Linked DNA regions of Arabidopsis thaliana. The protein of the gene in region 1 interacts with the protein of each later gene in a biochemical or structural test. Each region holds a gene or a part of one and is shown on either strand. Other genes may lie near its edges.

Region 1 (17,138 bases):
CAATCATTTTCGCTTCATTGTCCCTAATAAAAGAAAGAAAAAAAACATTTCCATTAAATTGTTGTGAAAAAAAAACTAATCATAGATATAACATTCTTCTTTTGCCATAGGCTACTACTCTATTTTCGAAAATTCATTCAACAAACATTCCCTTCAATCAATGAAAATCTATTCTACTCAACGTAGTTCCTATTAACCATTTTTTGTGCTTGTTTCCTCTATTGTGGTTACCACTTGGAACATAAGGAAATAATTCAATTTCATCAAAGACATACCAGTTTAGCAAGTGTTCGCCAGCTATGTTGCCCACATAGTTCAAAGCTTGGCTCCATTTTTGCCTCTCCTCCTCTGTTCTACAAGCACATGTTTCATTGAAAGCGATCCCGAACTCTCCAGTTTGTTTCCGCACATCAGATGGATCTACTCCATAGAAGACAGTCATCACTATTTGACCCATATCATCCTTGCACTTCAAAATCTCCAACAACTCATCCAAACACCACCCGGAAGAAGCATAGTTCTTCGAGAGCAATACAATAGAGATCCTCGATTCTCTAATCGCTTGAGTGAGCGCAGGGCTGATGGTTTCGCCTCTCAAGATTCTTTGATCATCGAACATTGTAATCCCATTGTTGTTAAACTGTTTGCGAAAATGACTTAGAAAGCTTGTACGGACGTCTGATCCGTGGAAGCTCGTGAAGACACGATATCTCCAAGTACGACTCGCAGAAGAAGAGGAAGAAGCCATGAGATTAGGGTAACGATAAAACTTTGACGATTAGATAAACAAAAATGTCTCTGGAGGAGCCATATATGTTGGAGAAAATGTAAAAAGCATATTCACTATTCACCGTTTACTTTTGAGAAGGTGAGTATGAAATTTTCTCCACTTTTACGGTCCCTCAAAAATTATAAACAAGAGAACCGGTATACCTCATAAAACACTATTTAGTTCTTCTTCTTTTTGTTAGGGTAAATTGTCGTAATGTCTCAGTAGATGTCGAAACTCAAAAGAGTAATATTTTGATACCAAAAAAAAAAAAATTTGAAAAAAAACTATTAATATAGTGGATGTATACGTATGTCGATTTGATGTGTACATGCATGAATGGGTCAACATGTGGGGCTTGAGAAGTTTCCAACTTTATTTCACCATTTAATATATTAAATTATTGAGAAAATTCTTAGTTTTCTCATTCGTTTTTCTCAAATGATGATCCTACAAATTCATACTAATCAATTTATTTATTTATTTTACAAATCAATTTTGTAGTGACTAATTTTCTTTTCTACAATATTGATGTTCCGTTCATATACAAAGACCATAGCAATTACAATACCGCAAAAACACAACACCCAAAAAAAAAACAACAAACAAATAAATCTTCTTAAACCGGATCATGAAACCGATCAATCAATCACTACTATTCACATAACAAATTTTGAATAAACCGACCGGTTAAATTTAGTCTCATGGTACAACTCATCACACTAACTTTCCATCTTTTTCTTCCCAAAACCTTAATCCTTCCTCTAACCTCAGCAACACTTCTCAACTCCAAAAACCCTAATCTCAAATCCTTATCCAAATCCTTAGTATCCAATAACCGAAACGAACCGATCTCAACTACAACACCGGTTATCCTAACCGTCTTATGAGCTTCCACTCTTCTCCCTTCAATCTTGGTCTCTCCCACAACACCATGATCAGCGTAAACAACACGTAACGTACTATCCTCAAATTCAAACGCGCCAAAATTCGAGTTTCTGATCGAGATATCACTTACTAGCGTGGCGTTGAAGTAAGGGTTTGTTGAATTACCTCCCGATCGTAGATCTCGAGTCGATATTGATCTTGTTTCGATCTCTGGTTTTGAGATACGGAGAAAGATTGAAGATAGGATGAGACAAAGTGCGAAGATGATGACGATTATTGTTAAGGAATAGACTAGACATTTCCCTGGTGGTTCCTCTGTTTTCCGACGCCAGATTCTTGGTCCGCTCTGTTCTTCATCACTCCTGCCATAGATCTCGGTAGGAGCTAGTGTTATCCGATCTTCGTCCACCATTTTTTGTTTTGTTGTTTAGATCAGAGGAAGAAGAAGAAGAAGATGAGGAAAGTTAATGTTAATGGAAGAGTGGGTGGTTTCTTTTTTGGCGGTTAAAAGAGGGATTTCTGGAGGACACGTGGCACGATCGTGTTAAGTTAGAGTCTTACGCGGTGTTTTTTATCCTTAATAAGTCTTTTCCGGAGGGCTTGATTTTTGTCTTTTAATTATTTTATTCTTTTTTGTGTGTTAATTTTGATTTTATTTTTATTCGTTTATAAAAGCGAGTTATAGCAGAAGAGTCCAGTGAAAAAAAAGAAAGGAGAAGAGTCTTTAGATGAAGACGACGTCAAAGATTTAAATGTTTCAACTAACATCAATTGTTTTTAGAAACCTTTGAAGGGTTTCAGTTTTCTTCTTTCATCAATTTTGGGAAACTTACAATACCTAAATAGTATTAGTTCTTTTGTTTTGAAACCTATCACTTGACTTTTATTTCTCTTTTAATGTCTTTGATTTAAAGTTCAAAAATTAGAATCCGTACGGAGAAATTTGACGATGATTAGTGGACCAATGTGCTCATAATAAATACTATTCGCATTTGTCTACGATCGGGCGAAATGGAATGGAGAAAGGTTCTCAGGGGACCTAGTTTTAAGAACAAATCAAGATATATAGGTACTGTGGTGATGCTTACTACTTACTAGGTCTCTTCTAAAACTTTCTCGTTAAGAAACAAAAATAAAATGTGATCATGTTCGATACTTCAACAAAAGTTTGAGAAAAAAAGAAGATCATAAAGCACAATGATCCCAAAATAAAATTAATTTCAGTATTTTTGGTGATATGAGTAAGCGGGGTTTAAGAAACCATAGACATGATCAAAGATAAAGATACGCAAGCAACCTTACAAAGTCTCTTTTTTTTTTTTTTGTATGAAAACCAGCCTTACAAAGTCAGTCATACGTATGAGAAAACAACTCTTGAGGCAACTCTGAAATCAAACAGTTGAAATAGTAATCTTATGGTAATTTGTTCAAATGGTTGAACTCAAAATTAACTCAAGAAAATATTTTACCTTGACGTATTCTTTTAGACGACGTCAACATTGATATGGCAACTGTGAAATCTTGCAATTTAGGTCAGACTTCAGCTCAAAATTTTAGGACTACATTCACCAAAATCTTAAATCGATGTTCTTGAAAGTAAAAAATCTTACAAGGTTTGGTCTTAACTCTTAAGTCTTAGTTATTGGTTTAAAAAAGGCTTACAGTTATTGCAACAAAGGTCCAACTCCTGCTGAGTCCTTTATCTGTAACAATAGCAGTTTCTCACATAGATACCACCACTATTGGATTGGACCTCCTTTGATTAAATGGTTCATACACTAAACTTCTTTAGGTTTGTGATCACAAACTCCACTGGGCCTTTTAATAATTTTAATTTTTGGGCTTAGTGGCTCAGAAGCAATGACAATTAGGTCCATCAACAAATGTTCCAACAATGAAAGAGAAATGGTACATGTTTGTTAAGAAAAATATGAAAGGTATTACAGAGAAAAATAAAGAGGTGGGTACATTATTTCTCATGTATGTACATATACTCATTCATTTTCTATATGATTTTTGTTTTCCAAAGGAGACAAACGAAGTACAAACATTCTTGCAGAGATGATCACACTCACACATTCTTAAGATTTAAAAGAGAGGAAACATATAGAAGAAAGGAACTATCAAATTTTATGCTTTGTACACCTTACATTAGTTATATAATACAATGATACAAAAATATTATAACTCCCTTATTCCCAAATATTCTTCCAATATTCTAAAAACTCTAGTCTCTCTTTCACCGACTCCACTAAAAAAAAAAAATAGAAAAAAATATCCCCCAAAAAGAGTGTCATCTTCCTAATCACATGGACCTTATCAACGCATTATTTGCTTCCATCATTTATCTTCCCTGCAGCTGTATTGCACTTCCTCTACAATCGAATACGACGTCGTATTACTGTCGCTATCCCTCACCAAACCTCACCTCTCTTCTAGAGTCTCCATCTCATTTGCTTACTATACAAGAAATTTTAAAATTTTACTATATGCTTCTATCAAACCCCCTTGAATTTCTTCTGTCTCGTATATTTACACGTATGCCTCGGTGTATATAAACCTAGAACGTGTGGAGCTAAACGTTAACACACTCACTTTTGACAGTGTGTTAACGTTTAATCACTTTGAATTAAATAGTGAAGAGATTGCCTTTATACTATAAGTGGCTAAATTTGAGATATTAAAGAATCTAGAGGGCTTTTGGCTTCTTCCTTCTTGTCTTTTAGAAATGCTCCTTGTGAAATTCAAACTTGGTTGAACCTTTTTGATTGAATGTGTTGCATAGTTTGCTAAGCTCCTTCCCTAAAACCGGTACTCCGCAATAAAACACTCCTGCGAAAGATCAAAGATTTAAGAATCATTTTGATCGAAACCCGAATCTTGATTGTGATAGAAAATGAAAGCTTCTACAAAAGCATGAAAATGAAACGTATTGCCCACGGATACTGAAAATGAATTGTGGGGACTAAATTGACTGAATCTTGAAAGAAAATTTTACTTTTTGTGAAGATTAGAAATGTATGGAGCTTAGTGATTGTTACCTATTCTTGCATTGCAATGCTTGGAACTTAGCTTTGTGAGAACCTTCTTCCAATTAGGTCTTGCAAAGTGTGTTCTGACCTGAAAAATGAAGATTTTTTTTAAGAATCATATCTTTATGTGTGGGTTCATTTTTCCACAATTTATAATTTGGGGACCGTGTTAGGAAATCAAAAGAATCACGACTTAAGAAGAAAGTAACGTACCCTAGTGCCAGAGACAATGTCGACACCATTTTTGGCATGATTAAGAGCTTGAACCATTGTAATGAGAGCAGAACGAGCATCACCTTCTTCATACACACTTGTTAAATAGTTATGCATCTCTATCACACCCTGTTCCACACAATTTTTTTTTTTGATTTTCTCACATTGAATCTTCTCGGGAAAATTTTGATTGTGTCTGTCAAGAAATGTTTTGAGTTTGTTTATTACCCGTTGGTCAAGTTCTGCAACTTCGTTCATGACACCTTTGAACCAATCAAAAGAGCCTTGTTCTCTTGTGACCCAGTAGAAATAAGCATTTGTGGTTTTTAGTATTCTCTTTCGTCTTGGCGTGTCACCGTTGCTTCCTGTGCTGTATTCTGATGATCTACTGAAATCCGAGATCGAATCCTGAAGACGTAAAAACATTTTTATCAAACTTGACATCTTTATTTATTTGTCTGCACAAGAGAGAATAAGATAAGACTTGGTTTATTACCGCATGCTCTTCCATTTTAACAATGTTGTTAAGCAAATCTTTCAAGATACTGATAAATGGAGTTGCACCAATGCCAAGACCAACTAATAAGAGAACATCATATTTCCTATAATCTTGTGCTGGTGCACCGTACGGTCCATCTATCAATAGCTTTGGCAAACTGAAACAACATTTAACTAAACATATCAGCATTTGGTTAATTTATAAGTGTTTGGTTTTGTTTTCGTGTTATACCTTTTCTTTGTTGTTTCGTCGGCTCTGAGAAGTCCGCTTTTACCGCCAACCGGTGGCTCACAAACTTCAGAGAATACTCTTTTGAGTTCTTGAGTCCAATCACCAAGTTGTCTAATGTGAATGCTGATATAATCATCTTCAGGTGCGGAAGTAATTGAGAATGGATGCCTAAAACGAAATACAAATCAGTAAGACAGATGATTTGGTTGGTATCAAAAACTGTTATGAATAATTCTTACCACTCGAATGGCGAAACCGCAGGACATTGGACAAACATGTATTGTCCGCTTTTGTAACGAAATTGAGTTGGTTTCGACATTTGTAGCGTTAGAACATTACCAGGATATATAGCAACCTACAAGGAAAAATCAAAAGAAGTTAGCTTATTCTACAAGACAATGAGAAAGTAAAGAAAACAGAGTCCTCTGTTTTAGTTTTTGTTTTTCACTTACCTTAAGCAGTCGAACCGAATAAGAACCAGAACGGAAGTACCTAAGTGTTCTTTCTCCACCATAGAGTAAAACTGGTACTGCAAGATACATCCATGTCTGCAAAAAACAACATCTCAAAATCAAAATCAAGATTATATATGGTCAACAATTACTAAGCTTAGAATCATGGAGACTTACCGTACGAACATACCAAGGCTTGGCGAAATAGAGGAAGATACCATGAAGAATAAGCAAGATATAAACAATGACGAACAAATGATGCGAATACCAAAAGGCGTTAAAACCGGTTAGTCGATCAAATGGCTTAGGAAGCTTGACTAGGTTACGCCTAAACCATCTTGTTGCTAATGTGAATGAAATAATCATCAAAATGACCATTAAAATCCCAGTGATTCCTTCAGGTCCCTTAACGAGGTCGAAGTATGTTGGCTGTTTTGTTTGAAAGTAATGAAACAGATACCGATTGTAATCGTATTCGGTGGCTCTAACAATTCTAGGGAAATCACAAGCAAGATGGTCTCCAATATGAAGGATCACAGCTACTACAATGGCTCCAGCAATTGTCTGCACATAACAAAAAAACCAAAAAAAAGAGCAGTGAGTTAAAATTTTCTATCAAAATAGTTTAGTGAGTAGAGCATTGGTTTCTTACTTTATGAAAGTTTAAAATGATCAAATAAGAATTTTTTCCCCACTACAACACAACCTTCACTTTTAAAGGTGAGCATTTCTAAAACCAAAACCAAGACCAAACCAAAATTAATCTTAGTTTATTTACTGAAACCAAGCTTATACAACCAAAGCAAACCAAATAAACTGCAACTAATGAAAAATTTAATTTGTTATTTAAATATACCAAAACCAATCTTACTATATGTAATGTACTTAACTGAATTAGAAAATAAAAATTTGCATGTGAAGTTATCTTTGGTGCAAAACCGAACCAAACCATATAAGAAAACCAGACTAATTTTATTCGAACTAAACAAAAAAAATTGATTTTAATTCGGTATAGCTTTTCAAAATTTTATTCAAAACAGCTGTATATGAAGTTGTTTTTTTTGCAACATAGAGACAAAAAATTTCAAACTGAATTAAAAGTTCAGCTCTAATTCCGTATAAGACTTTCCTAACCAAACCTAAATTCCACATGCCTTAATCTTATTCACTTTTCTTTAGTGGCAAAAAAATGTAAGAAATGAGAAAGAGAGAACCAAAAAAAAAAAAAAAAAGAGAAAGCGAAATAGCTGTTTAGCTGTCATGTCAATGTTCCAGTGCGTGCACAAAGAATATGAGCCCCACAACAATCTCAGCTTTTTTGACAGCACATTGCGTTCGATGAGGATTTTGTATCTCTAATTAGTATTGGTTTTGACTTCTATAGAAGCACGAAAAGAAAGTTCTTATGGGACCCTAAAAAGTAGAAATCAAAAGTAAAAAACAAACAAACAAAAAGGTTTATAGCTCACTAACCTTGTGGAAGTTGATATTATCATCAAAAGGAACGAAGTAAGAGAGTCTTGTGGATCTAAGCCAAGTAATGGTGTTTCTGCAAACTGGGAAAAGTATTAGAGCCATGTTGAATTTAAGTGTTTCAGCTGCTCCTTTGGCTGTGAGTAAACAATATCCCATCACATGAAATGCATCTTTTTGCTTGTATTGGAAGAATTTCCACAAGAATAATCCGATCATGATCATGATCCATAAGGATAAAACCCATATCCTTTTCCAATTCTCTTGCATAATGTAGACGAAATCCGAACTCATTCTATGTATTCGACTCTTTCCCCTTAACCCTTGAAGGTTTTGGCTCAATGCTTGGCTCGTATAGCTCAATGCTTGACTGTAATTGAGGTATGTGTCTTTTTGTAGAAGCAAAGTCTCTAGTTGCCATAGCTACACAAGAAGAAAATAAAAGAGCATTAAAATGTATGAAATATTTGCCTTGATGAATCATTTAACTTCTATAGATAAATATAACATTCAAGATGTAGCAGTCACATGTTTTTTTTTTCTTTTCAAACTCTATCTTCTAGCTAGCAATTGAAATAGTCTATTGTAACTACTTCACCTACCATTGAGTTGATGAAATAGAAAAAAAAAAAGTTTTTATACTATATTTGAGCTACTGAATCTATACTTTATAATGGACAACTATTCTAGGTGTCAGCAAAATGAGATAAGAGTAGAAAAAAAGCAAACATGAAATAATTTAATGCTATAGTAAAAGAAATTGGCTCCTTTTTTCTTATAACATGTGAGGTCATACATTATATAAAAGAATTATTGAATTCCTATTTATGGGCGGCGGTTTTACATACTTTATTCCGTTTGGGTAACGAAAGTATTGAAAATATTTTGCAATAATATAATACTCACATCATGCAAGCACGGAAACAAAGCATGTGATGGTGGAAAAAGATTCAAAGATTTGTACAGTGTGTATTAAAACCAACCTCTATGTAGCCAAGTCTTTCAGGATCTAACTCTTCCATAATCAAAGCTGCATATTCCTCTGCTTGTTCCTTTAATCTTGATAGCTTATTTGCAGATGCACTCAACATTATTATCTAACATATTCAAAGAAAATACAAAAAAGCATAACGATAAGAAGGATTTTTTTCTTCAAAAAATGTTAAGTAAAACATCTCTATTGTATCTTGTGTCACCGTCAAATATTAGATTATATTAAAACAAGTTGATTATTAGTCAAAACTAATTAAACAATAACATATTTCAGCATAATTGAAAACTTAGTTACAGATAAGAATCTAAACGAACATGGTTTAAACTCAAATCAATGACAAGAAAATTCGTATTTTGGTTCTTTGATATTTTTAAAATTTAAATGGAGTGGTTAGTATATCAGCATTTCATGAGATTTAAGGTCACCAAATCCCCGCCTAACTTTGATTATAAATTTAAAAAATCTATTTTGACTACCAGTCCCAGTTTATATTTTATTCTTAAACCTTAACGAAAAAATATGACATTAATTTATGTTTAATTAAATAGTGACAGAATTGATAACACTAATTGTGTTAGTTAGCTAGCATTTAATTACCTCTTTTACTTCCTCTTCTGTAATTCTCCCATCTTCATTCTTGTCCACTCTGTAAAAATGATTAATTATGTAATTAATTATCTTCAATGAAAGTCAAAGGTTTATATTTAAAAACAATAGTTACAAAAATTAAAACATACGCATCGTAAGGAACAATAATTTCTGCACACATGCATCAAATTAAATTACTAGACTGTTTAATTAATTAGGAAGACTGATCTGGAAAAACGCTGAAAATATGGGATCTCTTTATAGTAAAATGACTGTTAGAAACCTTTCTAAAATAATCATTGATTATCAGTAAAAATATGATTAAGAGAGTAATTAAATTAAAGTAATTATTAAGTTTAAGTAACTTTTTCTGTTACGTACATGTCGAAGAAGATCTGGAGACGAGAATCAAAACTCTCGTCGTTGATTTGTGACCAATACTCATAAAGCTCATCGTGATTGATTTTCTCTACTTTTAATCTTCTTCTTCTACTCAATGCATCGAACAGTTCCAATGCAAATTCTTTCGAATCTTTCATTCCTGTCAACAACAACAACAAAAAAAACACAAATCAAGATTTGAGTAAATTTCGAAATCTCTAGAGTTTCTTCTAGAGTTTTTACGAACCTATGCATTGAGCGAAATCGGAGCGATAGATGTAACCATTTTTTTCGAATTTTTCGAAATTTGATTGAACATCGTTCCAACCATCAACGTTCTTTTGCTTATTGCTAATGAATCTCAAACCACGAAGAGCTCTTTGAGCACTAGACCGAGTCCGATCTAACTGAGCACGTTGCTTTCGCAACGCTCGCGCTTCTAAAGCCGAGTTCACCAAACCACCACCAGCACCGCCGCTTTGATTAGCGGCGGTACTAGTAGTGGTTAAGTTACCTGAGAAAGAACGAGACCATGAGAATCGTTTCAACTCCTGAGATAACTGTTTCGCTTTCGCCACAGCTTCGGCTTTAAGCTCTTGTGAGAATTGTCGGAACCGATTAGATGAAGTTCGTTTCATCGTCGGAGATCTCGAAATCGAAACCGGAGTCATTATTCCGGTGTTGTCGTCGGAGATATCTCCGATGACATTAATGGCGGTTGCTGGCTCGACGCTACGAAGAACGATTGTGTCATCGTCTTGAAGATCGATTGTGACTTCAACGAACTCTTGATCACCGTTAATGGAGTATTCAGTTCCCGGTGAAGTTGATGCACTTCCGACGGCGGTTTTTCCGGCGGAAACTGAATCAAATGACCACCGTCGCCGATCGTTCTTTGAGAACGGTTTCATAGATCCAAAGTCGGAATTCAAAGAGTTGGTTGAAGGATATCGGAAGTATATACACGTAGCATAGATTATATATAAGTATATGTATAGGTTGGTGGAATCTTTGAAGAAAGAGAGAGAGAGAGGGAGAGATGGAGAATTGAAACGCGTCGTTGTGGCTAAGTGGGAAAAGCCATTTTTCACGCGCTGTGAAACTCTCTGCTTTATAGAGAGAACGTTGACGGAGAGAGAGAGATCAACGATGATGGAGATGATTGAACCGGACTGAGAAAAAGTTGACGGAATATACTTTTTTTTTTTTTTGAGTTTTTTTAACTTATAATAGTAATATTATTGGATTTTTGCCACATTTATTTTAATGCAACGAAAAGAAAATCAAAAAGTATTATTGGAGTTGTTTTTTTTCCTTTTCTCAAAATTGGAAATGATTTTTATCTGTTTTTTAGACAAGTGAGACTTTGAGAGTATCTTTGTTGGTCATTCTAGTTTATGCATGGGAAAATGCTATGTTTCTTCAAATATTTTTCTTATAGTAGTTTGCTCTTCAATAAAAAACAATATCAAAACGATTTGGACTTTTAAAAAAATTGAACATTTGATGTGTTAAAGATTTTTTTTTTTTTTGATTAGAGTACCAATTTAATTTTTCATTATATATTTTTCAATAGATATCTTATTCAAATGCACCATAATTATATGAGGTACAACACGATTTTGTATATATGTAACTGTTATTAGTTTAAATTTCTAATCTTATATAGGCAACTTAGTATCAGATTTTGTGTCCAATTTTCATTAGAATTAAACTCGTTATTAATTAGTAGCTAGCAATAAGCACTAAAAACTTCCAATTAGCTATAAATAACATGTAAAGAATATATGTACATATATATAGAAACAACTCGGATGACGTTAGTTCAAGTAATACCAAAGGAATATTTTTAAATCTGAGGTGATTGTGTGTGTGACTGTTGTTTCTCTGCAAGTCTTCTTTTTTTCGTACGTCCGACGCGTTTTATCCAAAGTTGAGCTTGTTTGTGAACTGATGAGAGAAAAAACAAGGACGACGACTTTGAATATAGTTTTTATACATCATTTGTGGAAGCCAGTGTTTTATTAGCGATTGATGTATTGTTGTTAAGTCCACGACTACAAATATTTTGCTCACTTTTGAAAAGAATTTATTGTTAACAAGAACAAATCAAATTTGATAACAACATTTTGTTTTCAGTGCTTCACTAATATAGACTAAAAAGATTTTAGATTAGATCGAACATGTTTAATCATGGGTCGTCCATCATAATCTTGTATTGCCCGTTGGACACTTTTGAGTAATGACACGACGTTGTTTAAGAAGATAGTAGATACATTTCCTCAAAAATATTTATATTCGAGTGGGGTAAACTTTATTTGTATTTGTTTAGTCTATTAATAATAATACTCAAGAAAAACGTTGTGGTTATTAGCCATATTTTTTTTATAAAATCTTTTCTTAGTCAAAAAAAACTTGAAATTTTTGAAAAGTAACGGAATAGAAATGAGATATGAATAGTTTTTTCCATACCTTATAAAATTGTAGCTTAGAATTAGAGATTTAAGGATTGAAAGAACTAAGTAAACTTAGTTTTGATAAATAACCAAAATCAAGCATGTAATATTATCTACCTAACGAAATTAATTATAAATTAAAAAACAGTTAGGGTTAATGGTTCAAACCGAACCATTAGGGTTGAAAAAAGTTTAACCAAATGGGTTAGATGTAGACTACGTCACTACGGTTCGGTTGTTTGGTTTGGTTCGGTTCTGTTTGGTACGATTAAAATGCCCATCATTCTACATCTCTCGGAAATTTGTATGGTTTTGGTTCGGCATCTAATTCAGTTATCAGAAAATAATAACCAAACTCGAATGTGAACCATTTCTATTTTAAGGGGTTGAGTGTTTTCATTTTAATATATAAAGATTTCAATTCAATGTTATGTTGTGCAAACAGTTGTAGTAGTAAATACACAAGTTATAAAACAAAACAAAAACTCCAAGTATGAAAGTGAAATGTGAAAAGATTTGATTTTCAAACGTAACTAATCTCATTTTTAAAAAACATATACGTTTTTCACGTTATACCTAATTTTGGCATCAATTTCAATTTGACGAAATATATTCACTAAAAAGTAGGAAAAGTTCGTTTAACATTTTATATGAATGAACAAAAGTCAGATGTTTTTGAACAAACTCGTATTTCATAGAAAAACGTGTGTATTAGTGTACACATATATATATGTACACACATGCACACATAACTGGGTATAACATATATAATACAATTCTGCAACTATCTTCACTATCTTCTGCAACTTTTATAGTTTTCGAACGAAAGTAACTTCTCCCATAAGTTATTCTTGAAGAATAGAAATGTCAAATGTGATATGAATATTCTACCAACCCAAGTTACAAAAACCAATCATTTTTCTATTTGTGTATATATAGATTTGAATTTTACTGTAAGAAACTATTTAGAATATAGAACATTGTTTCATAAATCTAAAGAAAGTTAACCCACTGCTTGACTTTTCAAGTTTTAAAATTTGACGTATCGTTTGCGGTTTGCTTTTCATGACTGTTAATTATATAGTACGTAATCACTAATCAGTTCATTTATCCGATCCATTGATTACCAAACGATTTGGAAATATGATGGATTAACTTTAAGTTTAGAAAGTAGTGGCCTAGTGGTAATTTTTTTATGATATAGCAAATTCGTTTTCTTCTTGATTAGGTTCGATTTTTATTAGGATTCTTTGTCAAAATAGTTTCATAGTTTAGATTCATTAGAAAATATGATAAGTGTTACTACTCGACGACTACACACATCTTAAATATATGTAGGATGATTAAAACTTGAAGCATACCGTACCGAACAGTAAAGAAAAGTCTTAACTTTTGGTTTGTTCGTTTTCTTCTTCTTTGGTTTTCCTACACATAAAAATCTGATATCTTGCCGATAATTATATATTAGTTAGATTTTGGTTATTCACTCAAGTTAATGAAAATTTATCATATATGGGAAATATTCAAAGTCAAGCGGATAAAAACAATTACGAATAATTGTCTAGTATTTCATAGTTTACTTTTGTCACCAAGTCCATAGACCATAGTATAAATTCGTTGAACTAATAGTAATAATTTTTGACGTTCATGCATGTATAGTACACAAAAACTTTTGGGCTTCTAGAAGAAAAATAACGCGATTGAGGCCCAATATAGTGCGTGAAATGGGCCCACCATATATCTTCCAAGTCAATGAAACAACCACTTCTTGTACATGGGAGAGAAACTATGTCATCTATGAAATTATTTATTGTAGTTACTTAGTTGACTTTGAATTGTCATGTTCTCTTTACCATCCTAACTCCTTCATTAGAGTGAAAATACAACAATTGTCCCTTTAAGACAACCATTTTTCTTTGGTTGTTAACTAACATTCTCAAACTCTAGTAGTGATATACAAACAAGATTTTTTTGTAGTAACTTTACATCAACAAAAATTATCCTAATTTCACAGCAAAATATAGAAAAATAAATAAAGCAATAAATGGAATTAAGTTAGAACAAAATTATTATTAATGATTTATCATGTGTTCAAAGTGTTTTCATTAGGTATAAGGTTTTAAATATCATTTTTTTCTTTAAATAGATTAGAATTGTTTATCTCGTGTACTATTTGATAGGAGAATACATTTTAAAAGAAAAAAGGTTGGTAAAATTTGGTTGATTAAATTTATGTTGGCTATAGAACTCATATATTAATCTCCGCTGTTCCTTTGCGAAAAACTCAAAAGTAACCAATTAAACAAACAATAAATTTAACAAATCTTTTGAAAAGTATATAATAATAGAACACTTGAGAAACACAAACTAACCGATCGTGATCGGTGTGACACCACATACATAAACGATTAAGTAAGTTTGAATTAGAACCGACTTCATGATGGCTTTCCAAATTTAATATATTATCTTAGGTTATAATAATTATTTTCATATACAACCACATTAGTACATTACACATGTGTGGTACGTGCATTTTACGTCCTCAACAAACACAAAAATTTTCTTGTTTGTTATGCCTAGCAATTAACTTCGAAGCAGACGGTCAGGGCATTTAGCAGCAGCCAAAGAGCAGAGAAGAAGCGGATTGGGGTCGAGAGTTCGAACCTTTCCCACCCAAAATATACAAACGACACTCAAGTTGAGAATTTTATCATTGACCTCGTAGAATTAAAAATCTTTAAACACAACAGACCTTAAAAAGAACTGTGTGGCTACAACTACAACTGAAAAAAAAAAATGTTACAACATTGAAGGCAATACAATATATATAGTCTTCTGCACCTAAACACTGTCCACATAGAGAAGAACTTACCTTACACCGTGACACCATTCGTATTTACAGACGACTCCTACGACGCCGTTATGTCCCCTTGTAAAACCAAACCGGTTTCTTTTGAGTAATCAAGATTGGTTTATATGGATCCACCACTCTTATTTTCAACCGGTTCATGGAAATTTCCGAGCTTTCTGAGGATATGTGGATGACTTTTGGAGTGTTCTCGTTGGTGGTGGAGGCGGCAACATCATACGGGAGTGATTCTTGAACTTGCTTGAAGATGAATGTTTTCTATCTGATTCTATTGGGGATGATGAGCTCGGGAATGATCTCTTCTTGTTCTCCATTGTTGATAGTTTCAGTCTCTTTGAAGGCTTAGGATGATGATGATGATGGTGGTGATTATGCTCTGCTGCTGAATCTTTTCTCACGTGGTTCTTGTTATTGTTGTTGTTGCTTGAGTTAAGATCTATGGATGAAACCGTTGTCCTGTGCCTTTCCAGAGGCTTTTCGATTAGTTTGGATTTGCGGGCTTTCATGGATTTCTGAGAGAGCTTCTTTGGCCATCTGAGGATTCCGTTTGGGTTGTCGTGGTTTGCGGACTGGACTGCAATGTCACAGAGCGTTCGTGCAGCTTCTAAAAGCTGTGGACATGAAAGAGCTGTACACAACATATCATCATCATCAGAAGAGGATTTTCAATAAAATTTGAGGCAAAGAGATATTCAGTAATAGTATTTGTGAAAACATACCATCATCTTCAACATCTGGGGATCCCTCTGGTTCTGCATTTGATGAGAGATAAATTGCTGTTATATAGTTTTCGTTAGGAGTAGTATAAAGAGGGTAACGGATCCTTACCTTTGGGAACAAAGAAAGAATTTTGAAGGGTAGAAACAGATGCTTCTGCGCACTGGCATGAAATGGTGTTAGCGAATTTTGTTTGAGAGGTCTTAACTCCAGTAATAGTCTGTTTCAGTAGTGGAGGGACTAAGTTTTGGTTGAAAGTGAGTGATTCCAGATTTGCGAAATTATCGGTTATACCCTCTGGAGAACTCATAGAAGTGTCGGCTATTCTTAGCCATCGTCCTTGACAAAGTGTCTTGCAGGTCACAAGCTTTGCTGCTTCTGAGTTGGTTCTAGAGCTCCCATTAAAGGGCTGCGACCAAGGGAAATGAGGCAATCCACTATGAGGAGGTTTAGCTGAACGCTGCTGGTCCAAATTGTTCTTAGAGTTATGAGAAGGTTTTGATGCATCTTGGAGCAGAGAGTCTAAATCTTTCGACGGAGGAAGGCCTAATCTTTTCAATACATCGCCAGCGTCGCATAATGGAAAACTAAGTGGAGTGGAAGGAATTTCAGAGTTGATGCAATGATCCTGAGAAGTCAATGAGTGTATCAATTTTCAGTTAAAGCAACAAACCTATTTAAAGTCATGTATACTTGCTTACAGGTCAAATCAGAATATATATATATGAAACTTCTAAATGTTAGATTAAGAAATCTACCTTGGACGATGACGATAGATCTCCATCCAGGGCATTTACTTTATCGATGTTTTCACTATTTGGTAGTGTAGCAGAGATAGAGCTAGGCGGTGAACCCAGAGTTCTGCTGAGACAAGTGTCTAATTCAGTAGAGCTTTGTGATTGAACAGGCCTCTTTGTTGGTAGAATGGACCAAACATTTTTGACTACACTCAATAAAGTGTTGTTAGTATTCTCCGATTTCTTCATCTTGTCTTTGCCCAAAGAAGGACACTCATAAGAGCCTTCAAGAAGACTTTTCAATGAAAAATCTTCAACGAGTTTGGTAACATCATTTATTGCAGGCTTCAGGCCATAGGCACCTGCATGTAAGGTAAGGAAAATTAAGAGGTAAACACAACACTAGAAAAAGATCAGACCATTTCACGTGAGGAGAATATACTGACGAGACCTTGTCATGTCAACAAGGTCGCATTTTAATGAGATAGTAGTGAAATGCACTGGTGCTATAACTCTTACATTGTCCCTTTGGTACCTTAGCGATGCAAAGAATATGTCAGCCAATGAAACCTTTTCAATGTGATGTCAGGGAGGATTCAAAATAAACTAAAAATCATAACAAGTGACCGAGGGGACCTCTAAAGCTACCTCAGAACAGATTTCACTTGTAAATCACTTCAAAGTTCAGACGAAGCAATCTATAGAACTGAAAGTATAAAAGAAAATATAATAACTAGCCAAAGTAAATCGACCAGGTTGAGGAGTCAACTGTTGAATTAGAGTACACTATTGGATACCACAGGACAAGGCTAATTCAGAAGCAATCACATACCGAAAAA
Region 2 (16,421 bases), on another chromosome or scaffold:
TAAAGATGGAGACTCTTTCGGTGCTTCATCAACGGCGGTGCTAGATCCACCTTCGGTTTCTGCCTCCGCCGATACTTCGCTGGAGTTCCTAGCCGGCGAACAGATAATCCGCTTCGTGTTGATAGTTGGCTTCCATGGGAAAGAGCACGTGCTTGGTACGTGATGGAGGACTGATTCACCGGGAATGTGGACTAAAGATGGTTGAGTTATCGTCGATAAGGAAGCCATAGCTCCAAGGTTTACACACCAAACACACAAATATTTCGAATTTTAATTGATAACGGATACCAAAATTGTATCAACCATAGAAATCTAAGCGGATAAATAAATAATGCAGGTCCACTATAATAAGACACAGCTATATAGTATTAGTTATGATTCTTTATCAACAAGGTCGTTGTAGTATAGTGGTAAGTATTCCCGCCTGTCACGCGGGTGACCCGGGTTCGATCCCCGGCAACGGCGATTTTTTATCTTTTGGTGTTAGATTTAGAAACGATGTCGTTTTCAGCTTACTTCAACGTTCTTACAGCATCTTTGAGCATTAATAGTAGTAAGTAAACCCAGTTAGACAAAATGTTTGTGACACAACACAATCGAAGTTTGCAATTATATGAACAGCATAAACTTACTGCACATGCTTCGATATCTACAGAGTCATCAATCTCATGGCTTTTTGTCTCTAATATTTAAAAGAATTGAGTCTTGAAAGAAAGTATCAGCAAAAAGCTAAATAAAAGATAGTCAAAGCAAGGACTTGAATCATCAGTCTTTTTTCTTATTTGCTTAGACCAGAGCTCTCGCCAGATTTCCAAACCACATCGTTAAGTGAGGTTGAGAGCTTCTTGTAGAACTGTAAAGAAAGTAGATGAACAGAGATATAAGAATCGGTCCTCAAGTGAACATATTAGTCGAAAACTTGAAAAATGATTACCTTATGGAATTCTAGTGTATCCCCTTTCGTTTTCCGGACTTCGATCATATGAAGAGACGGTGATACTTGAAATATCTACAAAACATTATAAGATACGGTCACTTCTTTAGTTCCATGACAATTTGGATTCAGATACTAACTTCATAACAGAAAAAGAGTCAGGAGTGCATAATGTACCTCAGTTGCAACTCTTAGGTTTCCTTTCCTTCCAGCAGTCACGTTTTCAAGTCTCATCTGTGTACATAAGTAGCGCTTCAGTAAAAGGAAACTTCCACACCGTAACGAAGTGAGCAATGAGGGTGATAATATGTTAATTAGGACCTTCATTTCTACCCTAATAGGTAATCCGTCTATAAGTGAACTTGTTGGTGAGGTTCGAGTTTATCGATTTATACCAAGGGAGTGAGTCTTTTTATCATGTGTTTGTGATTCTTAACTCTAACAGGAAGCCATCTAAGAAAAAGGAAAAGACGATGCCAATAGCTGTTAAGGTTTCACACGATCGCATTACCTTATAGTTTTTCTTTTGAATATCGAAACCAAGCGGCTTAGAAGCTTCTTCAATCTTTTGGACTAAATCATTAGCAGCACCTTTAGCAGCAAATCTCGTTTCTCGCTTGAATCCCTGCAAGTTAAACGGTATAGACTTCATTACTGAAAATATAATGTGGAAAAACAAGTGTTTGCTCAAGGATTCAAGCAAATAAGTATGTTAAGTCTAAGAGACATACCTCTTCTTCTTCAAACAAATTCCCGAGATCCAGAGCTCTCGACATTGATATCAACTCAAAGGCATTCATTGAAGTTGGTTGCTCCTCTTTCTTTTCTGTGACATGATGCTCCTGTTAATAAATTACAGACTGTTATGTACATTTATTCAAGTAACTTGAAAAAAGGAAAAACAGTTCATTTATCTTATAGATCGCAGACAAAATAAATAAGACTCACTTCTGAATCTTTGAAAACAGCGTCCACATCATCCAAGTTGGCTTCTTCCTTCTCCTCGAAAACAGCTGGCTTGTAATTTTTCTTGAACCACGCATCTCCCAGAACCTCTGGAATTGTGATACGCTGGCACGTTAACACACAGTCAATTAGTTCCACCGTTGAAATCAAGGACGAGCGGCTTTAGTCGCAGATGTTTTGAATGAGTTTAAGTTTAACATGCAAGACACAAAAAAAAGTAATAAAGAGTCGAAGAGGAAATATAGAAAGACTTTGATATAAAAAGTAGATAAAAGTGATTACACAAAGAATTCAAGAGCTTAAGAAATAGGAAACCCCCCCAAAACCCAGAATAAGAAAACACATAAATAAGCCCTTAGTTATATATCATGATTAAGATACTAATCAAACAATCTTCACCAAATCATAACTGAATATCTATCATAATCCGCTATGTATATAACTAAAAAATACAGGAGAATCATAAACTTTTGAGCAATTTAGAAAGATTATGATAAAATCTACCAGCAGAAGCTCATTGCAGGTAGATATCCCTAAAAGAAAATGTCAGCTAGAATGGAAATTATTAATTTATATGACACAGAAACGTACAGTTACTTTAAACAAGTCAATAATTCTGCTTACACGTTGTGACTCAATTTACAAAATAGTAAATGATGCCTAAATATGAAGAAGTATATTTGATATTAAACCTAATGCTAAAAATAGAACAAGACAAACAATAGAATGCCACTTTGGTGGGTTAGGCCGTTAGGGCTTAGACAATCAAATCTTCCCATATATGTTACCCTGGTAAGCCCTAACCTACCTAAGTGTCTAAGAATAAAAACAAGACAAGATTGTTGGGGTTCGACTGAAGAAAACAAAAGAAGAATAGATTTAAATCTTGAAAGCATTAATAAACTGAAATATCTTACAGTCATAGGGTTTGGATCCAAGATTCGGACAATCAAGTTCTTAGCACCAGGAGAGAGCCAAGGAGGACAATGATATTCACCAGCTATTATCTGAGAAATGACGAAAGTGTTAACATAGAAACAGTAATCACCGATAATGGTGAAAGAAGAAGCTTTGAAAAAATGACAAAACTTCTTACCTTTTTATACAGCGTCATGAGATTAGAATCCTCGAAAGGCAAGTAGCCAGCAAGTAGTACAAAGAGTATCACTCCACAGGACCACAAGTCTGCGGTTGCCCCGTCATAACCTTGATCATTAAGAACCTTGTGACAAGAGCAACAACGAAGCTATTAGTAACATAACATGGTGCAACAACCGCATGACATACAAGACACATGCCTAAGCATACCTCAGGAGCAGCATAGTTTGGAGTTCCGCATGCAGTGTGAAGAAGACCATCACCCTGCCAAGACCAAATAAGTTTGATAAGCTGAGAATCTAGAATGGTCAGTATTCAGAGCTTATTAAATATATGTATAAACAGTCAATGAGACACATCGTCGTTGAACTACAGGTTTCTTCATTAGAATAGGACAAGGACAAATCAGTGAGAATTCAGGTAAACAAAAGGATGCTAAGAAAGAAAAATAAGACTCAGTGATTACCCTGACTTGTCGGGACAACGCACTCAATCCAAAATCAGAGACTTTCAGATTTCCTTGAGCATCTAGAAGCAAGTTTTCCGGCTGCAGTGAAATTGTAAGTATCAATTATCTGCACATTAAAGAAACATACTGCAAACTTGGGCATAAACCAAAAAATATCATACCTTTAAGTCCCGGTGGTACACTCCCCTGCTATGGCAGTAATCAACTGCATTAATAAGCTGCTGAAAATATTTCCGTGCATTCTCTTCTTTCAAGCGCCCATCATGTACCTTCACAAGTTTACACATAATGCAAAGGTTAAATCTACAAAGGTTAAATCTACATCAGAGATAAGAGAACGTTTCAATTGCAAGAAACAGGAACATCTATCAAGATTGACCAGAGCTTAGCATACATGTTCAAACAACAATAGATGGATCAAGTAACAATTATAAATCCATTGGGAGGGATTAAGGAAAACTCACAATTTTGTCAAAAAGCTCTCCACCAGTGCCGAACTCTAGAACAATATATATCTTAGTCTTGCTCGCCAAAACCTGGAACGGTATCAATCATTTCCTTAAAAGTTAGCTTCAGCACATTGGCTTCACATACAAAGAGCTCTAAAGCAAGCCAAAGAAAAATAGAGACACAAATAGAAAAATGGAGATATACCTCATACAGCCGCACTACATTTGGATGGTTTATCAGCTTCATAGTACAAATTTCTCTCCTTATCTGTAAAAACAATCAGGAAAGACACACATCATACTTTTGGACTGAAGATGCATCTAGTATATTATCTTATTAGGAAAGAGAGTTACCTGTTCAGCCATCTTATGCTTAAGAACCTTCTCCTTATCAAGTATTTTGAGAGCCACGCGTTCTCCTGTCTCAGTATTAACAGCACACCGAACTTTCGCAAAAGTGCCTTGTCCAAGCGTCTTTCCAACCTCATACTTTCCAACACGACGCTGAACCTTTGGCCGATTCATCACTCCGAATGTTCACCTCTTGATCTTCAAAAGCTGTTTTTGGAAAATGTAATCTCGCATATAAGAATGATTCCATGAAAAGAATCCAACACAACAACAGGCAAGATAGTGTTTCTTTGCTCAATTCACGGAAACTAAATGCAAAAAAAGTGAAAGAAACCGTCAAGAAAAGAACAGTAATATGCCACAGAATTCAATAAAGACAAAGCGTAAAAACAGCTGAAAATCCACAAGGCAATGACAAATCTAGCAGCGGAGATTTTCTCCGGAAATTCCGATCATCCTTTTTAATTACTCCAAAAACAGCCTAAATCTCTAGAATCATGACTTAGATAAATCATATATTGTTCAAGCAAGCATCTACAAATCCAAAATTCTCCACTAAACCAATATTTGTACTGATACACAATTGAAGCGAGATTCTCGAGTTAGCTACAGAACTAATCATCATCACCATCATATAATATAGAGATTATGCACACTTTACACATAAACCAAAAGCGTAAGCAACTCTCTAAGTTACCGAATTACTCATCGAATTCGAAGCAAAAACATGGAGAATCGACCAACAAACCTGCAAAATTGGACGGAGAAAAGTGAGCGAGTAGAGGTGACAAAACCGATGTAGCCGCCTTTGGGGAGCTCAAGAGTTAGCAGGAGAAATTCAAAAGAAAATCTATGGCGGAGAATTCGCAGGAGAAATAAAAAAATGATGGGCTAATACAAGGAGCAACAAGAGATAGAGATGCGACGAAAGAGATACGATGATTGTAGAGAAATTTGTAGCTAACAGACAAAAACTTATTTAATTTCGTGTAGGGACTCTCTCACTTTAATGGACACTTGTTTTTTAATTTTTTTTTTTCGTATGGGACAATTATACGTTTCTTTCCTTTGTTAAGCTCCTCAATTTTCTTAAGAAATAAAATTATGTTTTTTGCCTTTTTTGGTCAATTATTTTGGGTTAATTAATGTAATGACAAAATATTTGAGTATTCAGATTTTGACTAGATATGGACCTAATCAATAGGTGTTTTTTTTTCTTTCTCATTTGAGTTGTTTCTAAGTAATCGATGAATTCTTATGTTTTTGTTACAGACCATTTAAAAAAAAAAATAGTTGTAACTGATTTTATCCACTATTATATATTTTTAAGTCTTAACTCTGAAGTATATATGAGTTTTTTGTAAGAAAGAAAAACCGTTGCTTCTTCACTCTCACTTACTTACTAGTCACTACAAAGTTCAACAAAAGTCATACATTGCAACCGTTTTGTGTAGTGTCAATGGTTATAGACTGATGACAATTATTAGAACATTGAACAAATCATCAACGGCAAAAGCTCATTAGACTCATTTGTAGCGAGTACATATATATTCTAGAGGTGTGGAATAATAAGACTCATATAAATGATCGAACACTCTTTTTGTTTTTAATATAAAAACTAAAAAAATTTAAAAACAGTTTACTTGGAAAAAATGTAGAGATATTGACTAACTTTTTTATTAAGTATCCATTTAAATTAAAACAAAACATGTAAAATCGATTCAAGTTTAACTATTTCTACAAAAAAGTGTATTCATGTAAAATTTTTGCTTATACATATCCGTTTCTGTAACGTAAATTTAGAGGATACTCTAATCATTTCATATGTATCCATATATTATTTTTTTCAACATATTATAAGTTTTTTTTTAATTTTCCAAATTAATTAATATCCTTAAATATCTATCCTAGTTTAAAAACTTTTTATAATTAAATATTTAAATGAAAAAAATAATGTCAAAAGTTTAATTGATATACTGTAAAATATTCTACTAAATCAGTTTTGAAAATAGTCAAAAAAAATTAATAATTGTTAATTTGATAGATTTATTACCTAGTATATATGTCTAAATTAACTGCAAAGGTTATAGTTTTCTTTATAATTGTCTTAAAAAACTAAACTAAAAAGACAAAAAAATCATAAGAATTACTGAATTAGCTAGTAAATCTTTAGAGGCCCAACCATAAGTTGTTGGGCTCTCTCTCTTTTATAAGCTCTCTTGCTGAATTATTATTAGAGAGGCAAATAATATATTCAGTAGCAAAAAAAAAATCTGGGATTTCTAAAAAAAGGTAAGAAGGAAAATGGCGGATCAGCTCACCGATGACCAGATCTCAGAGTTCAAGGAAGCCTTTAGCCTCTTCGATAAGGATGGTGATGGTATGTTTCTTTCCCAGATCTTTGCGTTTTTTCCCCGATGATTACTCCGTCCGTATACGAGTTCTGGAATTTGTTTGACAGATTTATGATCTTCTTCAGTTTTCTGTATGATTCGTGTTTGTTTCACTTGTGAACGATCTAGCTTTTGGCTAATTCGATAGCGATTCATGACTCACGCTGTGTTTTGTTCTTGTTCTGGTTCAGTCTCGTGATGCAGCAATGAAATGTTTTGGGAAATTTATCCATATGTTGAGATTTTGAGTAGTTTAATTGTTGAAAAAAGGATTGATGTTGTAGATATCAGGAATGTATTCTGCTTTGATTGGTGAAAAACTTGCAAAATTCTGTTGTGCATTATTGGCCTTTGCACGGTGAGATGTGGGTTCAATAGAACGAAGTGGCTAGGGTTTTGATTCTGGCTTTGATACCATGTAAAGAGATTTGGAGAAGAATATTGTGTCTTTTTAATACACATGATTCTAGATTTGCTAGTACACACACATAAGGAAAGACGGAATAAACACAGAATATTTCTTTTACCCTAACACTTTAGGTAGGACTTGGAAGAGTGATTATTTTTAGTTTGTATGAATGGAGTTTCTTTGTTAACTTAGTAGGACTTTGTTGAATGAAAAAAAATCATTCTCTTTTTTACTTACCAGATCTTCATCAGTCGAAATAAGAAATACAATGGCTTTTGTTTGTTGACTGTGGATATAAGTCTGTCTCTAAAAGCTTATTATACCTGAATCTGGTTGCAGGTTGTATCACCACCAAGGAGCTCGGAACCGTGATGAGGTCTCTGGGGCAAAACCCAACAGAAGCTGAGCTTCAAGACATGATCAATGAAGTTGATGCAGATGGGAACGGGACCATTGATTTCCCGGAGTTCCTGAACCTGATGGCAAGGAAAATGAAGGACACTGATTCAGAGGAAGAGCTCAAGGAAGCTTTTAGGGTTTTTGATAAAGACCAGAATGGTTTCATATCTGCAGCAGAGCTTCGACATGTCATGACAAATCTCGGTGAGAAGCTATCCGATGAGGAAGTTGATGAGATGATCCGAGAAGCGGATGTTGATGGCGATGGTCAGATTAACTATGAAGAATTCGTCAAAGTCATGATGGCTAAGTGAGAGAATTTTATCTTAAGCCCACAAAAAGAAACAAGATTTATGATTTCTACAGTGAAGTTACATTATGACTTGATTCTGGTTGCGTTCTTTAGGACATCATTTTGCTTATTTCCCTTGTTTGTTTGGTTAAGCCTTTTAGTGTTATGTGAAGTATGAACTCATATTTTGCTCTCTTTTTTGGGCATCTGATTTTATTCTGTAAATTTTTGTTAGTTGTTGTTTATCTTAAAGCAATGCCCTAAAATTTGGCCGCGTTTAAAATACCAGTAAGAGAATTGACCAACGAAAACGATTTTGCAACATCGCCAACGTTATTGTTATTTTACATGAAAAATATAGTAGTTATATGTATCAATAAAATTTACAAACCATTTTGTTTCTTAGTTTGTAAACCGTAAGTCCCTAACCTTCAAACCTTTTTTCCATTAGGATCATCAAAATTGGAAATTCTTTAGAAACAAATGTAAGTAGCCTCTAAATCTATTGTTGTCTAAAAGTTTTTTAAATGATCAAAGAGGTTGTAAACCTAATTTCGTACACTCCCTGATGCTAGAGAGACCAAAAGATGTAATGTGACCATCTCCCAAACGAAAATTGGACTCTTGACCTCTAGGTCCAGAGACTCTTTAGTCAACTAAGTTTGTTGGTGGATGCTTGGTTTATATAGGGTCAATGTTAACCCGATCCAGATAGCGAACCGGACTACCTTATAGGTCATCAGATCATCGTATTCACCCGCGGGTCAAATTATTATAATTTATTCTATAGAGATTATATAGTTTTATAAAGAGAAATTGCCTCAAATATCACATAATCAAGTTTTTGGGACACAATTAGCACCAACTTTTCGATTAAGAAACAAAAAAATACAATCTAACATTATCCATCTCATTGTCTTGCTTGTTAAACACCATATTTTTCATTTAACTGAAAAAGTATATCTGTACAGAAAAATAAATCTTAAAAATCGATCGACACCAATCTTTGATCAGCTTTTCTTACCCTTTAATTTAGCTCCATCTCTACAGCAAAACAAATTCTACATGAACTTACAAAATCTCCCGGCTTCCCCAATCTGGTCTCTGCACAACACCACCAAAAGAGTCTGCCTCAAACCAAACTGAGACTTGATACATAGCTTTGGTTTTTCAGGCATTCCTTTTAAGAACAATGGACTTCTCGACGAGGCGATATTATTTGGGATATTGAGTTTAGAGGAAGTTGAGAAGGAAGAGCCCAATGTATTGGCATCATTACTATTAGAGACACCAATAGATTTCCATCCATCAGCTATGAGTTGCATAGTTTTCCTTGTGGGAACAACATTCTTCCCTTCCATGTCTTTCAGAAGCTCTTCTGCTTTCCATGGCTGCTTCGCTTCCCCAAATCCCCATATAAGAGTCTCGTAAGTAGTCAAGTTAGGCGATAAACCAACGATTCCACACATTTTCTTATATACCTGCATCGCTTTCTTCATTTCACCAGCACTGCACCAACCGCTTATGATCTGTGTGTAGATCACTACATTTGGGCGAACACCAAATTTTCTCATCTGATTCAAGATTTGCTCCGCTTTTTCGGGCTCCCCAGCTCGAGCATACCCTTTGGCAAGGATACTAAATGCATGAATATCAGGATCTATTCCTCCTTCCAACATATCTGTATAGATCTCTTCGCATCTTTTCATATCTCCTACAGAACTCCATGCATTCATTAGAGTGCTAAACGTTACCACATCAGGTTTTACTCCAAATTCTTCCATCAGATCCACCACCTATTATATTAACTTGCCCATAGTTAAAATTAAAAAAACGAAAGTGAGTGAAAAATTATTGAAAGTTTATAAACTATAAAGCGCACCTCACCAACTCCATCCATGTCGTTGATGTTAAGGAAGCCTTTGATTAGAGAGTTAAAAACAAACAGATTAGGATGAACTCCAAGTTCCTTCATTCTATAGAAAAACCTCAAAGCTTCTTCCATCTTGCCCTCTTCACAGTAGCCATTCACAATGGTACCGCAGGTACGTACATTCGGTTTAACTTTATTGTGTAACATCCTTGGTATGATCATATCCTCAGCTGTACATGTTGACCCGATCCGCGCATACGCTTTTGCCAATGTGTTAAACGTAACTACATCAGGTTTTACCCCATAAGATTGCATCTTATATACAATGTTCCATGCTTCTTCAATCTTCCTCTGGTTACACCAAGCCTGGACAAGTATGTTACATGTTCTGTCATTTGGTTGGAGCATCTCATCCCGTAACATCATATCCAGGAGTCTTGATGATTCCTCCAGCTTACCAATTTTGCCATATCCTTTGATGAGAGTATTAAATGTACTTGCTGTGGGTTTACATCCACTTTCCTTCATTTTTTCGAAAATCTTCATTGCTTGATCGAGATTTCCAGACTCGGAAGAGGCGTTGATGATGGCGTTGAAGAGAATGGTGTCAGGTTTAAGGCCGTTTTTCTCGACTTTGGAGATGAGGGAGAGGAGAGAGTGGAAGTGCTTTTGACGGGTCAATGCAGTTACAAGCGTGGTGTATGTGATGAGGCTTGGCTTGTGGCCTTCCTCAATAAGTGTGTTGAAAATGGAATGAGCTTCTTGAGGCCTCCCTCTTTCTATCAAGCCGTTCATCAGTTTGGTCCTTGAACGAACATCACCACAAGTAGTACCACCTGAACATATCACACAAGGAAATGACCTCAGTTGCACTCTCCCTTCCTGTGAAGCAAAGGCGTACGTTATCTCAAACATGTTTTCATATTAGGATCAAAGACTTTGATATTATTGAATCAGATGCTCTATGCCTAAAAGGTTCGGTTAGTCTAGGTGATTATTTCCAGCTACTAAATCCTTCAACTCAATCATCAAACAGATCTCAGAATAGATAAAATGACTCACTTCAGAATCTTTGAAAACAGCTTCCACATCAGCCAAATTTGCTTCTTTCTTCTCTTCAAATACAGCTGGCTTGTAATCTTTCTTGAACCACACATCTTCCAAAATCTCTGGAATTGTTATACGCTGGCATGTTAACACAGTGAATTAGTTCCACTTTTGAAATCAAGGACGAGTGGCGTTGGCGTTTATTTATCCGCAGATGTTCTGAGTGATATTCAAATTCTACATGCAAGATACAGATAAAGCATCCACTTTGTATGACTCTAACATGCGCTTATCCACGGGACTAACAATTACAGGAGGGGTATACAACTTTTTAACATTTTTGAAAAGTGATAATCTACTACGAGTAGCTCATTTCAGGAATGGAAAGGAAAGGAAAGAGTCAGCAAGAATTGCAGAGTTTATGATTCCCAATTATGATTTCTGGTCTGTCCATTACTTGGAACGATTAAATTTACACTTTAGAGATTAGACCAACACTATATGAATGCCACTATGTCTATGTTGAATGATCTCTTCAAATTTTCCATTAGCGCTCAGGCATAAAATTTCCACCAGATTCCTAGTAACCCCTAACCCGCCTAATGATCTTAGAAAGAAAAAGAAAAAAAAGCAAATTGAGATTGTGGGGCTCCACAGAAGAAAACAAAAGAAGGATAAATTTAAATCTTGAGTAGTAAAGCGAAATGTCTTACAGTCATAGGGTTTGGATCCAAGATTCGGACGATCAAATTCTTAACACCAGAAGAGAGCCAAGGAGGACAACTAAAATCAGCAGATGAGATCTGAAAATAAAAATGCAACTTAGAAACAGGAATCACAGATGATAGTGAGAAGAAGCCTGGAGATATATATTACAAACTTCTTACCTTTTTGTACAGCGTCGTGAGACTAGAATCCTCGAAAGGCAAATACCCAGCAAGTAGTACAAAGAGTATCACTCCACAGGACCACAAGTCTGCCTTTGCCCCATCATAGCCTTGATCATTAAGAACCTTGGGACAAAGGCAACAAGGAAGCTATTAAAGACATGGTTCGACAACCGCATAACAAGCCACATGACTAAGAATACCTCAGGAGCAGCATAATCTGGATTTCCACATGCAGTGTGACGAAGGCCATCTCCCTGCCAAAACCAAGTAATTCTGATAAGGTGAGAATCTAGAAAGATCAGTGTTACGGACCTTGTTAAATTTTTGTGAATATAATCACTGATATCATCATTACTGAACTTCAGGCACATTCATTAGAATAAGACAAGGACAACTCAGTAGGAACTCAGGCAAACAAATGATGCTAAGAAAATAAAATTCCGTAGTTACCCCGGCTTGTTGGGACAAGGCAATCAATCCAAATTCAGCGACTTTCAAATTCTCTTGCGCATCAAGAAGCAAATTTTCTGGCTGCATTGAGAAAATAAAGAAGAAAAAAATTTAGGCACTAACTAGCTGCACTTAAAAGAACCTACACTGCAAACTTGGCCTAAGAGTTACCAAAAATGTTCCTTGTACCTTTAAGTCTCTGTGGTACACTCCCCTGCTGTGGCAGTAATCAACTGCATTGATAAGCTGCTGGAAATATCTCTGTGCTTCGTCTTCATTCATGCGCCCATCATTTTTCTTCACAAGTTTAAATTTAATGGATTGGATAAAAGTCAAAATAATATATTATCTAATCTGTAAGATACAGGAACTTCTTAGCTGAGCATGGGGCATTTGGTTCATGATTCAAATACCAAAGGATGCATTAGATACAAGTTAAAGCCCTTGGGAGGTAAAGGGAAAACTCACAATCTTGTCAAAAAGCTTTCCACCACTGATGAACTCTAGGACAATATATATCTTCGCCTTGCTCGCCAAAACCTGGAATGATATCAATCATTTCATTAAATGTTAGTTTTCAACATATTTGCTTAGACTCCAGGGAGCTGTTAATTTCTAGTTAATCAAAGGAAAATAGAGACACGTAGAAAAAAAATTGGGGCATGGAATTAGACCTCATAAAGCTGCACTACATTTGGATGGTTGATCAGCTTCATAATAGAAATTTCTCTCTTTATCTGTAAAAGCAAACGGGAAAGACCCACATCATACTTCTGGACAGAAGACGGATCTATCTGTGAATCTCGCTTTTAGAAACCACGTTTTACTTCAAGAAATGTAACATGGGCATATCAATGGACAAGAAAGGAGGCATGAAAAAACTAAATGCCGATTAGGAAAGCGAATTACTTGTTCAGCCATCTTATGCTTCAGAACCTTGTCTTTATCAAGGATCATCAAAGCCACAGGGTCTCCTGTCTCTGTGTCAACAGCACTCCGCAGTTTCCCAAAATTACATTCACCGATCAATCTTCCAACCTCATATTTGCCAACCCAACGCCTGACCTTTGGCTCACTCATCACTCAGAGTTCACCTCTTGATCTTCTTCACAAGCTGTTTCATGAAAATGTAATGTCAATGTTAGAATTCTATCTCCAAAGAACCCAACAGTGCAGGCAACAGAGTGTTTCTTTTCTCAATTCACAGAAACTAATGCAAAAGGGACAAAGAAACTGTAAAATACGAGAATACACACAAATAGTACTATGGCGTCAAATGTGATAAAGACAAGGCAAAAACAGCTGAAATCCACAATGCGATGGCAAAGCTTTTCAGCAACAGCATAAATTGTTGGGTATGTTTCTCATTGGGCCCTTTAATTCCAACATAAATTTCTAGAATCATGACGTCGATAGTTCATGCTACAAATTCATCATCGTCCTCCTACACATTTGATTATGTACAGGTCATGAACAAGTGACCAAATTATCCAATTTACCGAATGATTGATTCTTCGTTCGAAGTGAAACATGGAATAGTAGTATAGTACAACGGAGCTTCAGGAATACACACCTGCGAATTGTCCCGGGAAAAGGGAGTTGAAATCGCATGCAGCCTTTCCGGCAGTAGATTTCAAAAATCTATGGCGCAGAATTGGCTTATCGAAGGAGAAGAAGTAGTTTGTCGGACAAGAAAGGAACTCTCGGCGACAATGCAGAGCGGAGGAGCTCGAGAGAGTAGTAATTGGAAACAGAGCGTCTCAATTACTCGGTCGATGCTTCTTCCGCCATACTCCATCGTGTGGCTCACTTTTTCTCACCTTATTTCTCTTTTATCTTTTTCTTATCCAAATTAAAATTTTCAATCAAATAGACGACGTGGATTTATTATGAGTACACTTTCAAACTGGTTAGCCTTTTCCAATACCAAAAAGAAAGATTATTTTCAAAAATTTGTCACTTTCGCAAACGTTTTGTCAGAAGAAGAAAAAAAACAGGATTTATGTGTTTGGTTGCTAGCAGATAAGCTTGTTATAGCCATTATTAGCGAATGTATTTTACAGTTTTTGCAGAAAATAAAACAACAATCGTTACAATGAGAGAAGCTTTGTACACAAGCACCACAAACCAGGTAAGAAAGAGGTTAATAAACTCAAATGTTGGGCACTCACTAGTCACTATGAACAAAGAACATGTTTTCACATAATTGAGAGATGAAAAAGAAAGAAAGAGAGAGAACAATGTGGCACTGAATTTTTAGGGTTACCGTGTGAGCGGTTTGTAGAGGACAACAGTTATGTACTTAGACTCGAACCTGTGGGTTAAACCCAAAGCTACTATGGATTGAGGAGTCCATCCTTGCTCTATGAACACATGGTTAAGCACCACATGTTGAGGCTTTGTGGCTATGGCTGTCTCTTCAGTAGTGCCAAGAAGTGTTAGATGAAGCTGAGGTGGCACCGCCAGTGGCTCTTTCGCGTAATCTTCTGCGGCTGGTAGGGTTTGACCGTAGCTATGATCAGGTGATGGTGGCGCCTCAAACTCCACTATGCTTTCTGGGTTTTCTGGCACAAAGTTCTGCATGCATAATGATTGCAGATACTGTTAAGCTGATTGATAGATTTAACATGAGAAAAAAAGAGGTGGGAAAGTAACTTACATGAACATCGAGAATGTTACAGACATTGCCAACTTCGTCTGCTACAAAGGGTAAATCTGGGATGTATTTGGATTCACCGTCCACAATCACCTTGTAGTGGTATATGCCAGATGGAAGGACAAAGAGAATCGAGTGGTCTTTCCCTGATTTCTGCAGCTTCTTCCTGGTGAATGTAAACATATTGTTTTTAACATATATCACGAAATCTCGAGAGAGGGTCCACGAGAAACAAAGTCAATTATACCTTGATCTCCAATTGTCCCATGATCCTTCCACCGCCACATCATTACCTCCTTGGTTCCATGTAATGATGGTAGGGATTCCTTGCTCTGGGGGATTATCAAAAACTCTCTGTGATTGGTTCCATTGGATGTTATTAGGAGGAGGGGCGTTTGCTCTCTGCAATGGAGCCACGGGAACCTGAGAATATCCACATAAACACTGAGCCGTGAGATCTTACAAACCAATGTGCAAGAAGAATTTGCGAATGTCAAAACATTATATCTACCATCCGACACGAAATGCAGCCATTAGGTACACATGTTAAGCCTAAACAATGGAAGAGGTGACGCATAGGTGAGCAAATGTTGTAAGATGTAACGTGGAATAACAATGTGGGCTGAAAAGAAAAGGAGTCGAAAATGAATATAGCAACAGTAGACTCAGAAATTTACTCGCATACAGAGTACAGACAAGACCTTATTAGCAAAAGATATTTCACTATTCCCACAAAAACCTGATAACAAGGTCAATTTTAGAAGGTTGTCCTTCACTTATCTTATGAATTATTCACATATTAAGAACAATGAGAAGAATGACGAAACATCCAAAATCTGTAATTCGTTCAAGTAAAAGCTCTGCGTGTTTAAATTCAAAAAGGGCGAAGAAAAGAACAAGCTTGCCCTCCCTCCTCTTAAAAATGAAAGCAAAAGACATTACACAAAAGACTCACAATGCGACATGCAAATCAACAGAACAGTATCAGTAACTGGTAAATGACCAGAGAGCAGCAGGAAAGTCAAAATCAGCATAAAAACCTAGAGAGACAATAATCATCCTATTTGACTGCCATACGCTTTTCCACACCAGGCATGGAGGCATAATCAGAAGACAAATAAGACCTTCTCTAAAGCAGATTCTCTAGTATGATTAACAAGATTTTAACTCACCAAAAGGAAAAGACATAGCAATAAGGTGATCTAAGCCTCTCTCTCTCTCTCCACCAAAACTAAGGAAGAGTAACTAGCTACCTTGTCATTTACCAGAGTTTTTGACTTCTCAAGAACCAAACAAAACCAAGTCAAGTCTAATTCCTTTATACAAAAGATTTCATTCACAAACGTACTTAGTCTGCAAAGTTGCCCTCTTCACAATGAAACAAAGATAAATTACACAAAGACTCACTAAGGGACATCAAGAATCATGAGCGACCAGTAAATGACTAGAGACCGGCTGGAAAATAAAGAAAAAATAGCTAGGAAACCAAAACAACATCTTAAAGAAAGGTAGAAACTTTTCCACATTATGCATTATTTCAAGATACCTGAACCAAGATAACACAAAAATAAAAGAGATTCTCTAGTACAGAATCTCTAAACCCAACTCAGAAAAAAGCTTTAAGAACAAGAATCTACATTACAAATTCTCAAGAACCAACAGGATAACACAAATCAAGTGAACAAGTAGAGTTCACTCATAAAAAAAAGGCTGGAGATTTTGTACTTGGATCCTATCTAAATGAA

What was found.
Region 2: of the proteins of RBOH F (region 1) and CIPK26, one has a biochemical effect on the other in vitro, tested with the Arabidopsis thaliana proteins (one study listed by BioGRID).

Annotation. Positions count from the first base shown.
Region 1 is NC_003070.9:23,763,559-23,780,696, reverse strand, and holds RBOH F (respiratory burst oxidase protein F), read right to left. Parts: upstream 10,924-17,138; 5' UTR 10,432-10,923; coding exon 9,768-10,431; intron 9,681-9,767; coding exon 9,521-9,680; intron 9,198-9,520; coding exon 9,149-9,197; intron 8,655-9,148; coding exon 8,541-8,654; intron 7,981-8,540; coding exon 7,558-7,980; intron 6,649-7,557; coding exon 6,262-6,648; intron 6,181-6,261; coding exon 6,085-6,180; intron 5,988-6,084; coding exon 5,872-5,987; intron 5,801-5,871; coding exon 5,633-5,800; intron 5,559-5,632; coding exon 5,399-5,558; intron 5,311-5,398; coding exon 5,131-5,310; intron 5,032-5,130; coding exon 4,903-5,031; intron 4,778-4,902; coding exon 4,699-4,777; intron 4,490-4,698; coding exon 4,380-4,489; 3' UTR 3,713-4,379; downstream 1-3,712. Other genes in the region: RLM1 (Disease resistance protein (TIR-NBS-LRR class) family), read right to left, coding at 1-23, 276-748; AT1G64065 (Late embryogenesis abundant (LEA) hydroxyproline-rich glycoprotein family), read right to left, coding at 1,425-2,069; AT1G64050 (uncharacterized protein), read right to left, coding at 14,983-15,473, 15,565-15,597, 15,674-16,190, 16,321-16,661, 17,132-17,138.
Region 2 is NC_003076.8:7,206,101-7,222,521, reverse strand, and holds CIPK26 (Ca2+regulated serine-threonine protein kinase family protein), read right to left. Parts: upstream 5,279-16,421; 5' UTR 5,016-5,278; intron 4,475-5,015; 5' UTR 4,442-4,474; coding exon 4,271-4,441; intron 4,185-4,270; coding exon 4,122-4,184; intron 4,004-4,121; coding exon 3,932-4,003; intron 3,737-3,931; coding exon 3,629-3,736; intron 3,546-3,628; coding exon 3,465-3,545; intron 3,263-3,464; coding exon 3,209-3,262; intron 3,123-3,208; coding exon 2,997-3,122; intron 2,908-2,996; coding exon 2,818-2,907; intron 2,006-2,817; coding exon 1,883-2,005; intron 1,777-1,882; coding exon 1,666-1,776; intron 1,560-1,665; coding exon 1,446-1,559; intron 1,169-1,445; coding exon 1,112-1,168; intron 1,010-1,111; coding exon 935-1,009; intron 854-934; coding exon 779-853; 3' UTR 501-778; downstream 1-500. Other genes in the region: NdhU (Chaperone DnaJ-domain superfamily protein), read right to left, coding at 1-228; CAM6 (calmodulin 6), read left to right, coding at 6,572-6,647, 7,409-7,782; AT5G21222 (protein kinase family protein), read right to left, coding at 8,822-9,556, 9,643-10,515, 10,696-10,818, 11,394-11,483, 11,568-11,693, 11,771-11,824, 12,021-12,101, 12,210-12,317 and 3 more; AKINBETA1 (5'-AMP-activated protein kinase beta-2 subunit protein), read right to left, coding at 14,283-14,597, 14,680-14,842, 14,924-15,099, 15,188-15,298. UniProt on the Arabidopsis thaliana protein: CIPK serine-threonine protein kinases interact with CBL proteins. Binding of a CBL protein to the regulatory NAF domain of CIPK protein lead to the activation of the kinase in a calcium-dependent manner.